Linked DNA regions of Rattus norvegicus. The protein of the gene in region 1 binds, or shares a complex with, the protein of each later gene. Links are inferred from orthologs where the notes say so. Each region holds a gene or a part of one and is shown in the gene's direction. Other genes may lie near its edges.

Region 1 (4,482 bases):
CAGAAGGAGGGTGTCAGGTCTCCTGGAGGTGGAGTTACATGCAGTTGTGAGCTGCCCGATATGAATGCTGGAAATCGAGCTTGGGAACCAAACCTGGATCCTTACAAAGTGCAGCAAGTGCTCCTATCACTGAGCCATCCTGGCCCCAGTTCATTGAATTTTAACAGATTGCCCAGGTACAGTGAGTAGACACACCATGGTACCTTAAGATAGTAGAATGAAAAGATTCGAGGTTCTACAGGTGTATTTTCAGATTTTTAAAAAACGAGCTAATTCATACCGTATGCTATATCATTGTTGGCACATGTCTGTGTGCATTTAGTGTAATATGTGTTAGCAAAAGACAAATTAGAATAAAAAATAATCTAGTCTCTTCCAGTCAATCTTGATCGGAATGTCAGACATGTAGTGTTTAAGATGTTGAGAATGCAGAAATAAAAGCAAAGCACAAAATTCTTTCCTTCCTGGAGCTGTTGTCAAGAATACATTAAAAAATGCATTTGGTGGCTCAACCCTGTCATTGCAACACTTAGGAGGCTGTGATAGCATTTCTGCATGTTGTAGTTCAGCCTGGGCTACAAAGAAGGAGCCTGTCCCAAAAAATATACAAGGTAAATTATATTTGAACTTTAATCACTGTCCAGCTCTGAGTAGAGAAAAGCCAACAAAGAAGCAAGAAAACCTTACTTTCAGAGGGGAATTTTTCCAGTGTAGGTGATGTATGATAAGAGACAGACTGACCACCTTAGTCATGTTGGATTGTGGAACTCTCTGGGATCAGAGACGTGACAAGGTGCTAAGTCCACTGGAGACAGGGATTTTAGTTTGACTTTTGAATGCTTTCACTATTACTGCATCCCCAGGCCTGAAGATAGCACTTGGCTATGATCAGTAGTCAGTAAATGCTTGTTGATGGAATTGCTTCTTTTAAACTTACATAGTCACAGATAACTGCTTTAGTTTATTATTTTTTTATATCTCGCCAGTTGGAAATTTTATTTTTATTGCCTTATTTGTAATATTATTGCAGCAAAGGTTTATTAATATTGGTAGCTAATCTTATAGTTATCTGACATTGCAAAGAGTAGACTTGGAAATGAACTTTAAAAGGTCATCTTTTGTTAAATTTCCTGTGTTGGAAAGTTGAGTAAGATGATTAGGTATGTAACTTTAATTAAGTGTTTAAAAATAGGTCAAAATAATTGTTGCTCTCTTGAGAAAATGGAGAAAGGTACTTACCCTAGATGTAAAAGGACCAACCCAGAAAGTTGAAGACTAACTGTGGGAAGTGGGAGGGCAAACAGCACAGCTCAGCTGCTCTTTGTTGATATCAGAAATGAGCCTGTCAATCACTTTGGCGTTGAAGTAGGGCCTATCTCAGGGGCAGGACAGGACTCTTCCCTCCCACAAGGGCTGGACAGTTTCACCAAGCTCAGAAAGCTCTGAGCAGTTTTTCAGGAGTTTCTCCTCCCCTTTTTCTGGGAAATTCATGGTGCATTTGCTCTGCTTTCAAAATGCAGTAAGGTCCTCTGCTTTGTGACTGACTGCCTTGGAGCCCGCAGACAGTCGGACATGTACAATTCCAACTATGCAGGTCTTGTGAGTAAGTTAATTTTATTCTTAAATTACTTAAAATTCAAATGGCATTTAGAAAAAAGATAGCTTAGATTTAGGCATTTTATCACTTTTTACCTTTAAGCTTTTTTTTTTTTTTCCCCTAATTTTAAGAAGCCTTTGTAATTTAGCAAGAAAGCCAAGCTCCATGCAGAAAAGCTCCTTTCTTAGCACTGGGTTTTGAGGTTTTTTTGGTTTTTTTTTTGGATGTGTCTTTCTTTCTTGGGTGGTAGCACACATCTTGACCGGTTTTCTTGAGCATCTTTTTAGTTTTATTGAGAAGTATTTTAAGTTGAGCTTGTCTGAGCTCGATTGCTTACGTCTGACACAGTCTCAAGTTTCCACTGAATGGTAACAAAGACTGTAGAGTGTTGTTGGTACTGCAGTGAGAGGCATGCTTCCTTAGACCAGGTAAGAGAGACCAGTCTGTTTCTCACAACCCCGGGAGTTTTTACTGCGTTTTTATTTCTTAAGCAGCTGCCAGGCTAAATAGAAAAGTAGCCAGGAACATGCTGATCTCAAGACGTCCTTGCTGGTTACAGATAGAAAACCTACAGAGCATGGGGGTAGGGTGGGGGAGGGGTAGTTATCCTAGTTTATCCTCAGCTATTTATATAAATTAATTACAATGCAGAGATAATTCTGGAATTCAGCTTTCTCTATTTAGGAGTTAAAGAAGCAGTTGCAGACATCCATCATTTTAAAGGTACTTCATAGTTATTCCTCGTGGAAGCAATTCTAGTGGTAGCTTTTACTTTCATTTTTTTCCAGTAAATAAAATAAGGTTTCCTCTTATTGAATATTTTTCCATTTATGAAAACTTTTAAATTGTCAACATTGAAGTATACTTCCTCAGAATCTTTAGAAATCAACCTGACACATGAAAAAAATTCAGCCTTTGTAGTTATTTCATTCCTTTTTTTCCCTAGTACAATTTTCTTCAAAGTATTTGTGCTTTGAAAATGTCAGCTGTATTCTAATGAAGCTCCGGCATTGTTTGCTCATAAAGGAGCCGGTGCATTCCACTGCTTGATGGTTTATTATGAGGCGCCGTGTGAGAGGGGGTGGCACCATTTGGTGTCTGCCTCTCGGGGTGGTGACTGCCGTTATGTTAGCTTTGGATTGGCAAAGAAAATACAGCACACAAGGAGCGCTACAGAGTCTGGATACTGTGAAGAAAATCCTATTCCTAACAATTCTTAGTGAGCCACGAATGTGTAACAGCTTGATTGAGTCGATCATTTCGAGTGCACCCTTGAAGTCTGTGTTACGGTTACAGCTTATATTCTGTGGAGCACATATCTTGGGTTTTTAAAAACATTTTTTTTTTGCTTTAATAAGGGAATAAATGTTTTTGTTAGCTATAATACTTTAATGGCTATGACAATATTTTAAGTAATTTACTTCAAATGAATTTAAAGAAAGAAGTTTAAGGAACTCAGTGTGGATAGGGAGGGGGAGTTGGAGAGGGGCAGAGAGCCTTTCTTTCAGTTAGGAAAGCCCTGATGAAGAAAAAGAAGCAACAGATGTTTCTTCTGTTACAATTGAAGTTGTTTCATTCAAAATTCAACAGTAGCTGAAATGAGGAGAGAGGGGTCATAAATCCGACCTAAATGGTGAATAAATAAAACAGCTGTTTATCATTTATTTAAAATTCATCCTTTATAGTCAGATTTGAGAATCAACATAACAAGAATGAGTATAAGTTTCTGTTAAAGCAGCTTTTAAAAAGAAACTTTAAGAATTGTGTAATGAAAATAGGAGAAAGTTTTAGTGCATTTAAATTATAGGAAATAAAACATACTGGATATAACTCGTAAAGCCCAAAGTCAAATAAAATATATAGAAAATGCTTAGTTGCAGAAGTTTATAATTGTACAGTAGTCACAAAGGCTTCAAATGGAGTAGGAAACAGTTGTCCGTGTTGATAGGCCATGTCTACAAGAAACATGAGACTTATTCCAAGGATTTTCTGGATGAGAAATATGGAAGAAATGTTTTGATGATTGAAGTGATAAGTTGCAGTTTGTCCGTGAAAAAAATCGTCAGCTTAGGTTACTCATGGAGAAAAGGGTGATGTTTATTCACTGGAAAGAACAGGAAGGAAGATAATATGTATGTAATAAAAGCAGTCATATATTTTTAAAAAGTTTTTATTCATCAAATTCATTATGAATAAAGTAAAAACCTTTCTTTTTTTTTTTTTTTTTGGTTCTTTTTTTCGGAGCTGGGGACCGAACCCAGGGCCTTGCGCTTCCTAGGTAAGCGCTCTACCACTGAGCTAAATCTCCAGCCCAAAACCTTTCTTTTCATAAGTAACACAGAGGGAATTCTGTGATCGTATATAATTTGCACGTACATGTATTACAGCTACTCTTTCTGGGTGGGGAAGCTATGTGTATGTGGCTCAGGCTGAACTATTGAGGGGAAGGCAAGTGTAGGGTCTCACTATGTAGGTCTGACTGGCGTGGAACTCAGATCGACTTCCCTCATGCTGGCTTTAAAGGTGTAAGCCACCATGATGGACCTGACCTAGAACGGTTGATCCTCCTGCTTCTGTCCCTGGAGCGCTAAGATGATAGAAATAGGCCACCACTCCCATCTAACTTTATGGGGGTCTTTTATCTTGGTACTGTGAGTGACTGAACCTAGACACACATGCTACCATTGAACTGTATCCTTTCAGCCATTATACTTTTCTTAAAATTTTTACTGTTATTACTGGGATGGACCATGAATGCCGTAGCACACATGTGGGGTCAGCTCTCTTCCCCCAACTTTACATGGCTCCTGGGTCCTGAGATTGAACTCAGGTCATCAGCCTTGAGGAAAAGACGCCTTATCCACAGAGCTATGCATGTCTTGGGC
Region 2 (4,570 bases), on another chromosome or scaffold:
TGTGTAAAGACAGCTACAGTGGGGGCTGGGGATTTAGCTCAGTGGTAGAGCGCTTACCTAGGAAGCGCAAGGCCCTGGGTTCGGTCCCCAGCTCCGAAAAAAAGAACCAAAAAAAAAAAAAAATACAGTCTATATAATAAATAAATCTTAAAAAAAAAGGTTATATTGTTCCTGTAAGTGATAGGGAGCCACAGATGACACTAGACGATGATAATGTTGCACCATCCAAATCTACCCATCAGAATAGACCCTCATTTCCAAGCTGCCAGAAAAGCTAAAGTTCTGAGTCAGTATTGATATCCAAAGGCCTCTATAAGTATCCTTGCTGAGCATGAATACCTCAGGAAGACTACCCCAATTTCAGGCCCCATTATAACTAGATCTTCTGAATTCTGCCTGTTTTACTCTCTTACGAGTGTGAATTTGTGTCCAAGAGGAACTGACCACCATAAAGACATAACCATAAGTGATAATGTTAAAAATAAGTAAGACTTGCCAAGTGGCAAGATGGCTCAGAGATCAAGAGCACTTGCTCCTCTTGCAGGACTTTGATTTCTAGCACCTACCTGGTAGCTAATAAATGCCTGTTAGTTCCAGCTCCCAAATATCTGACACCCTCTTCTAACCCTCCCTGAGCACCTGAGCACCTGTGCACATGCGCCCAAACATACACATACACACACCATCATCACCACCACCACCACCACCACCACCACCACCACCACCACCACCACCATCACCATCATCAAAATAATGATTAAAAATAAAAACCTTTAAAAATCGAAAGATAAATGAGACTTGCAAACATACAGTTCTTCCCATATGTCAGAAACTTGCCTTAAAGGCTTTGCTCATATTCACACACAGGCAAGTACCTTTGCACGGACTAAGTAGTGGTTGGAAACAAGACTCCAGGTCACTGTGAACTGTATGTAGCATGGAGGCCAGAGAAAAATAATGCTGGAACTAAATAAGAGTAGATAGTAGAAGTCCGAAGCAAGCTATTTATTGTTAGTGCTTGCAGTTCTGACAGGAACAACAGGAATTATCTCAGAACAGCAGAGAAGCCTTTAGGATCAGTTTTAAGTAAATAGGATAAGCTTGTGGCTTATGGCTTCCCTTTGCTAGATGGAGTGTTCAGGCAGTTAGTAGTTTGGGAGCAAGTTAGCAAGGAATATTCGGGTGGTCCCTCTTCATTACTGCTCACTAACCTCCTCCATTTCCTACGATACAATTTTTCAGGTTTCTTAGCTGTCCTGAGGAGTTGTTTTCGTTTCCTTTGCAAATGGTACATTTGTCAATGGTCCCCAAAATTTTGCGTCAAGATCTACAGATAGGAATTGCACCAGATACCCTGGGAAGGCGCGAGACGGAAGCGGAAGCAGCAATGATAGCTCCGGTGGCCCGGCGACTAGGAACGGAAGCGGAAGTGGTGCCGCCGCCGGCCTGGCCTGGCCTGGCTGAGGGGAGGCTGGCGGGCGGGCAGGCGCGATGGCGGAGGCCGGGCCACAGGCGCCGCCGCCCCCGGGTACTCCAAGCCGGCACGAGAAGAGTCTGGGACTTCTCACCACCAAGTTCGTGTCGCTTCTGCAGGAAGCCAAGGACGGCGTGCTTGACCTCAAGTTGGTGCGGACCGGGCGGAGGGGCGACTGGGGAGATGGTGGACCAGGCCTGGACCAGTAGCGGGAACCAGCGGGGCGGCCCCACTGAGTCCTCTGGCCGCCATCAGTGTGCTTTCTCACACGAGAGAGGCGGGAGGTTATTTTCATTCACTGAAGCCATTGAGCCTCATCTCTGTCTAGGTCCGGGTTGCAGGTGCTGGCCCTCGTGGCCCTTCGTGACTAGTACAGGGAAACGAGCATCAGAATATCAGAACACAACTCTTCCCAAGACTTCCCAACACACTCCTGGAGTAATTGGAAGGAACTCCAGGGTTGGGAAACAAGACTACCCCCATTCCAAACTAAATGAATCAGGGTGCACACTTAGGAGTGGGGCTAGCATTCTCCATTCTCTTCTACCTGCCAGGCAGCCGACACTCTTGCTGTACGCCAGAAACGGCGGATTTACGACATCACCAACGTGTTGGAAGGTATTGGTCTGATCGAGAAAAAATCCAAGAACAGCATCCAGTGGAAGTGAGTAGGGATGTTTGGGAGGGCAGAAGTGTCAGGGGTGTGGGATGATGGTCATCGGAGAGAGAAGAGGGCAGGGACCCAGAGTTCTTAAGGATCCCACTCAGTCTCTCACTCCTGTGGTTCAGGGGCGTCGGGCCAGGTTGCAATACCCGGGAGATTGCCGACAAACTGATTGAGCTCAAGGCAGAGATCGAGGAGCTACAGCAGCGGGAGCAAGAACTTGACCAGCACAAGGTGTGGGTGCAGCAGAGCATCCGGAATGTCGCAGAGGACGTCCAGAACAGCTGATATCCTCTGGCAGACCCTGCCCTGGAGAGTGGGCAAGGGGCTCTCAGCTGCTTTTGCTCTGTAGAGCTCTGGGCCCTTTACCTCTTGAAAGAATGAGCCTGCAACCCCTGGTCAGATTCAGACATGAGGCTCTGGTCTCTTCCAGTCTTAGCCCATGATCCTTACCCACTTGGACCCCAGGTTCCAGAATTTCCTCTGAGGGCTGTGTGGCAGGCATAGGCATAGGCATTGGGTCTCTTCTGTGATCTGGCGTGGTAAAGGCATCAGCTGTTCTCCTTAACCCCCACACCTTGGCCTACGTGACTCATGAAGACATCTGCAGGTGCTTTGCTGGTGAGCAGAGCCTGGTTAGAGGGAGGCAGGGATGGGACTGAGTGAAGCCATGGAGCTCCCAGTGTTAGGTCCACTGCCCAAAAAAGAAGTTCCGACTCTTGAAGGTTCAGAGTTCCGACTCCGAAGCCAGGCAGCAAGTCTCAGTTTGGAAGTCACTGGGACTCTTTAGAGACCCATAGGGTACAAGAGTCCCCTAGGTTTGCCCTCATCAGCAATGTTCTCTGGGTTTGGTTCTTGTGCATAATGGTGGCACAGAGGAAAAGAGAATTTGTACATGTAGATTTGTGTGCACAATCTTACATACTTGTATGCAGGGGTCGGTGGTGTCCGTTTATAATTTGTACTTAGTTCCATTGTGCATATAGGAACCATTTATTAGATATTCCTTGTGTCTTGGAAAAACTTGGTCAGAACATCTGTTTCTAGGAATCAGCATCATTTGAGGAGTGAGGTGGTGGTACCTGTGGCTGGTGACCTCATTCCAGAATATAAGTATACTTAATCCCAGCACTTGGGAGGCAAAGGAGGGCAGATCTTTGAGTTTGAGGTTAACCTGGTCTACTTTGCAAGTTCCAGGACAGCCAAGGCTACATAAAAATACCCTGCCTCAAAAAGGAGAAAGAAAGAAGTGTGCTTGCATCGAGGTTTTCTGGTTACTGAGTATGAGGTTTTGAGGAGAGAATTTACCCAGTGCTTTAGGATGGTAGAGGCTTAATATTCAGTCTCTTAGAGACTCTGGTCACTTGTCTTTCTCCAGACAAGGCAGGAAAAGAACAGATACTTGAATGAGCTCATGGGCCCTGACACATTCTCCTTGTTATTCTAGGAGATACCCTCCTTGCTATCCGAGCCCCATCGGGCACCAGCCTGGAGGTGCCCATCCCAGAGGTAGGTGCTCATCCCTGCAAGGCAGTGTCAACTGAGGGTGGATACTGGCTGTGAAGCTTGATAAGTTCTGGGTGGGGCAGGTAGGGGAGGCCTGGAGTTTAGGGTTATCTAGGTGGATTGGCAGATGAGGAGAGGACAGTGTGGCTCTGAGCCAGTCAGGCAGGAGCTACGCCTGCTTGCAATTCTGTTTGTTCCCAGGGTCTCAATGGTCAGAAGAAGTACCAGATTCACTTAAAGAGCATGAGTGGTCCCATTGAGGTCCTGCTAGTGAACAAGGAGGCCTGGAGTTCACCACCTGTGGCTGTGCCCGTACCTCCCCCTGACGATCTACTCCAGAGCCCACCTGCTGTGTCTACACCTCCACCTCTGCCCAAGCCTGCCTTAGCTCATCCCCAAGAAACCTCTCGTCCAAGCAGCCCCCAGATAACTACCCCCACTCCTGTCCTTGGCAGCACTGAAGTCTCAGATGTGGCAGGCCAGACAGCTGAGATTGCAGGTGAGACACTATGGTAAGGTGTGATGGATTATTTTTTTATTTTTTGGAGCCTACAAGAAACTGTGTCATGGCATGCTATACTGAGAATTAGAAGTTCCTGGGGTCCCCACTTAGCTTTCCTTGGAGTTACAATGAATGTGCCCCTTTAAATTACTCTGTTCATTTATTTGTGAGGGGGACACATGCTACAGGATGCATGTAGAGGTCAGAGGTGATCAGATGACAACTTGAAAGAATTGGTTCTCTCCTTTCATATTTCTGGGATTTGAACTCAGGTCAGGTTTGTCCATGAGTGTCTTAATTCACGAGGATCTCACTTGCCTGAATATGCCCTTTCTAACAAGGAAGCTTTGACTATATAGGCAGCATTAGTAGGGTAGTTTATCCCAGATTGGACAGTGTCTGATGGATCCTGGCAACCCCATGA

What was found. Proteins that work in one complex are often made in the same cells at the same time.
Region 2: Tfdp2 (region 1) and E2f4 share a complex: the UniProt entries of both Homo sapiens proteins name them as parts of the DRTF1/E2F transcription factor complex. The link is inferred for Rattus norvegicus from reciprocal best matches to the Homo sapiens genes TFDP2 and E2F4.

Annotation. Positions count from the first base shown.
Region 1 is NC_086026.1:105,704,996-105,709,477, forward strand, and holds the start of Tfdp2 (transcription factor Dp-2), read left to right. Parts: upstream 1-1,537; 5' UTR 1,538-1,572; coding exon of another isoform or gene 1,573-1,603; intron 1,604-1,897; exon of another isoform or gene 1,898-2,025; intron 2,026-2,286; exon of another isoform or gene 2,287-2,320; intron 2,321-4,482. UniProt on the Homo sapiens protein: Can stimulate E2F-dependent transcription.
Region 2 is NC_086037.1:50,082,930-50,087,499, forward strand, and holds the start of E2f4 (transcription factor E2F4), read left to right. Parts: upstream 1-1,405; 5' UTR 1,406-1,491; coding exon 1,492-1,626; intron 1,627-2,028; coding exon 2,029-2,138; intron 2,139-2,263; coding exon 2,264-2,425; intron 2,426-2,715; coding exon 2,716-2,759; intron 2,760-3,585; coding exon 3,586-3,647; intron 3,648-3,845; coding exon 3,846-4,143; intron 4,144-4,570. UniProt on the Homo sapiens protein: Transcription activator that binds DNA cooperatively with DP proteins through the E2 recognition site, 5'-TTTC[CG]CGC-3' found in the promoter region of a number of genes whose products are involved in cell cycle regulation or in DNA replication.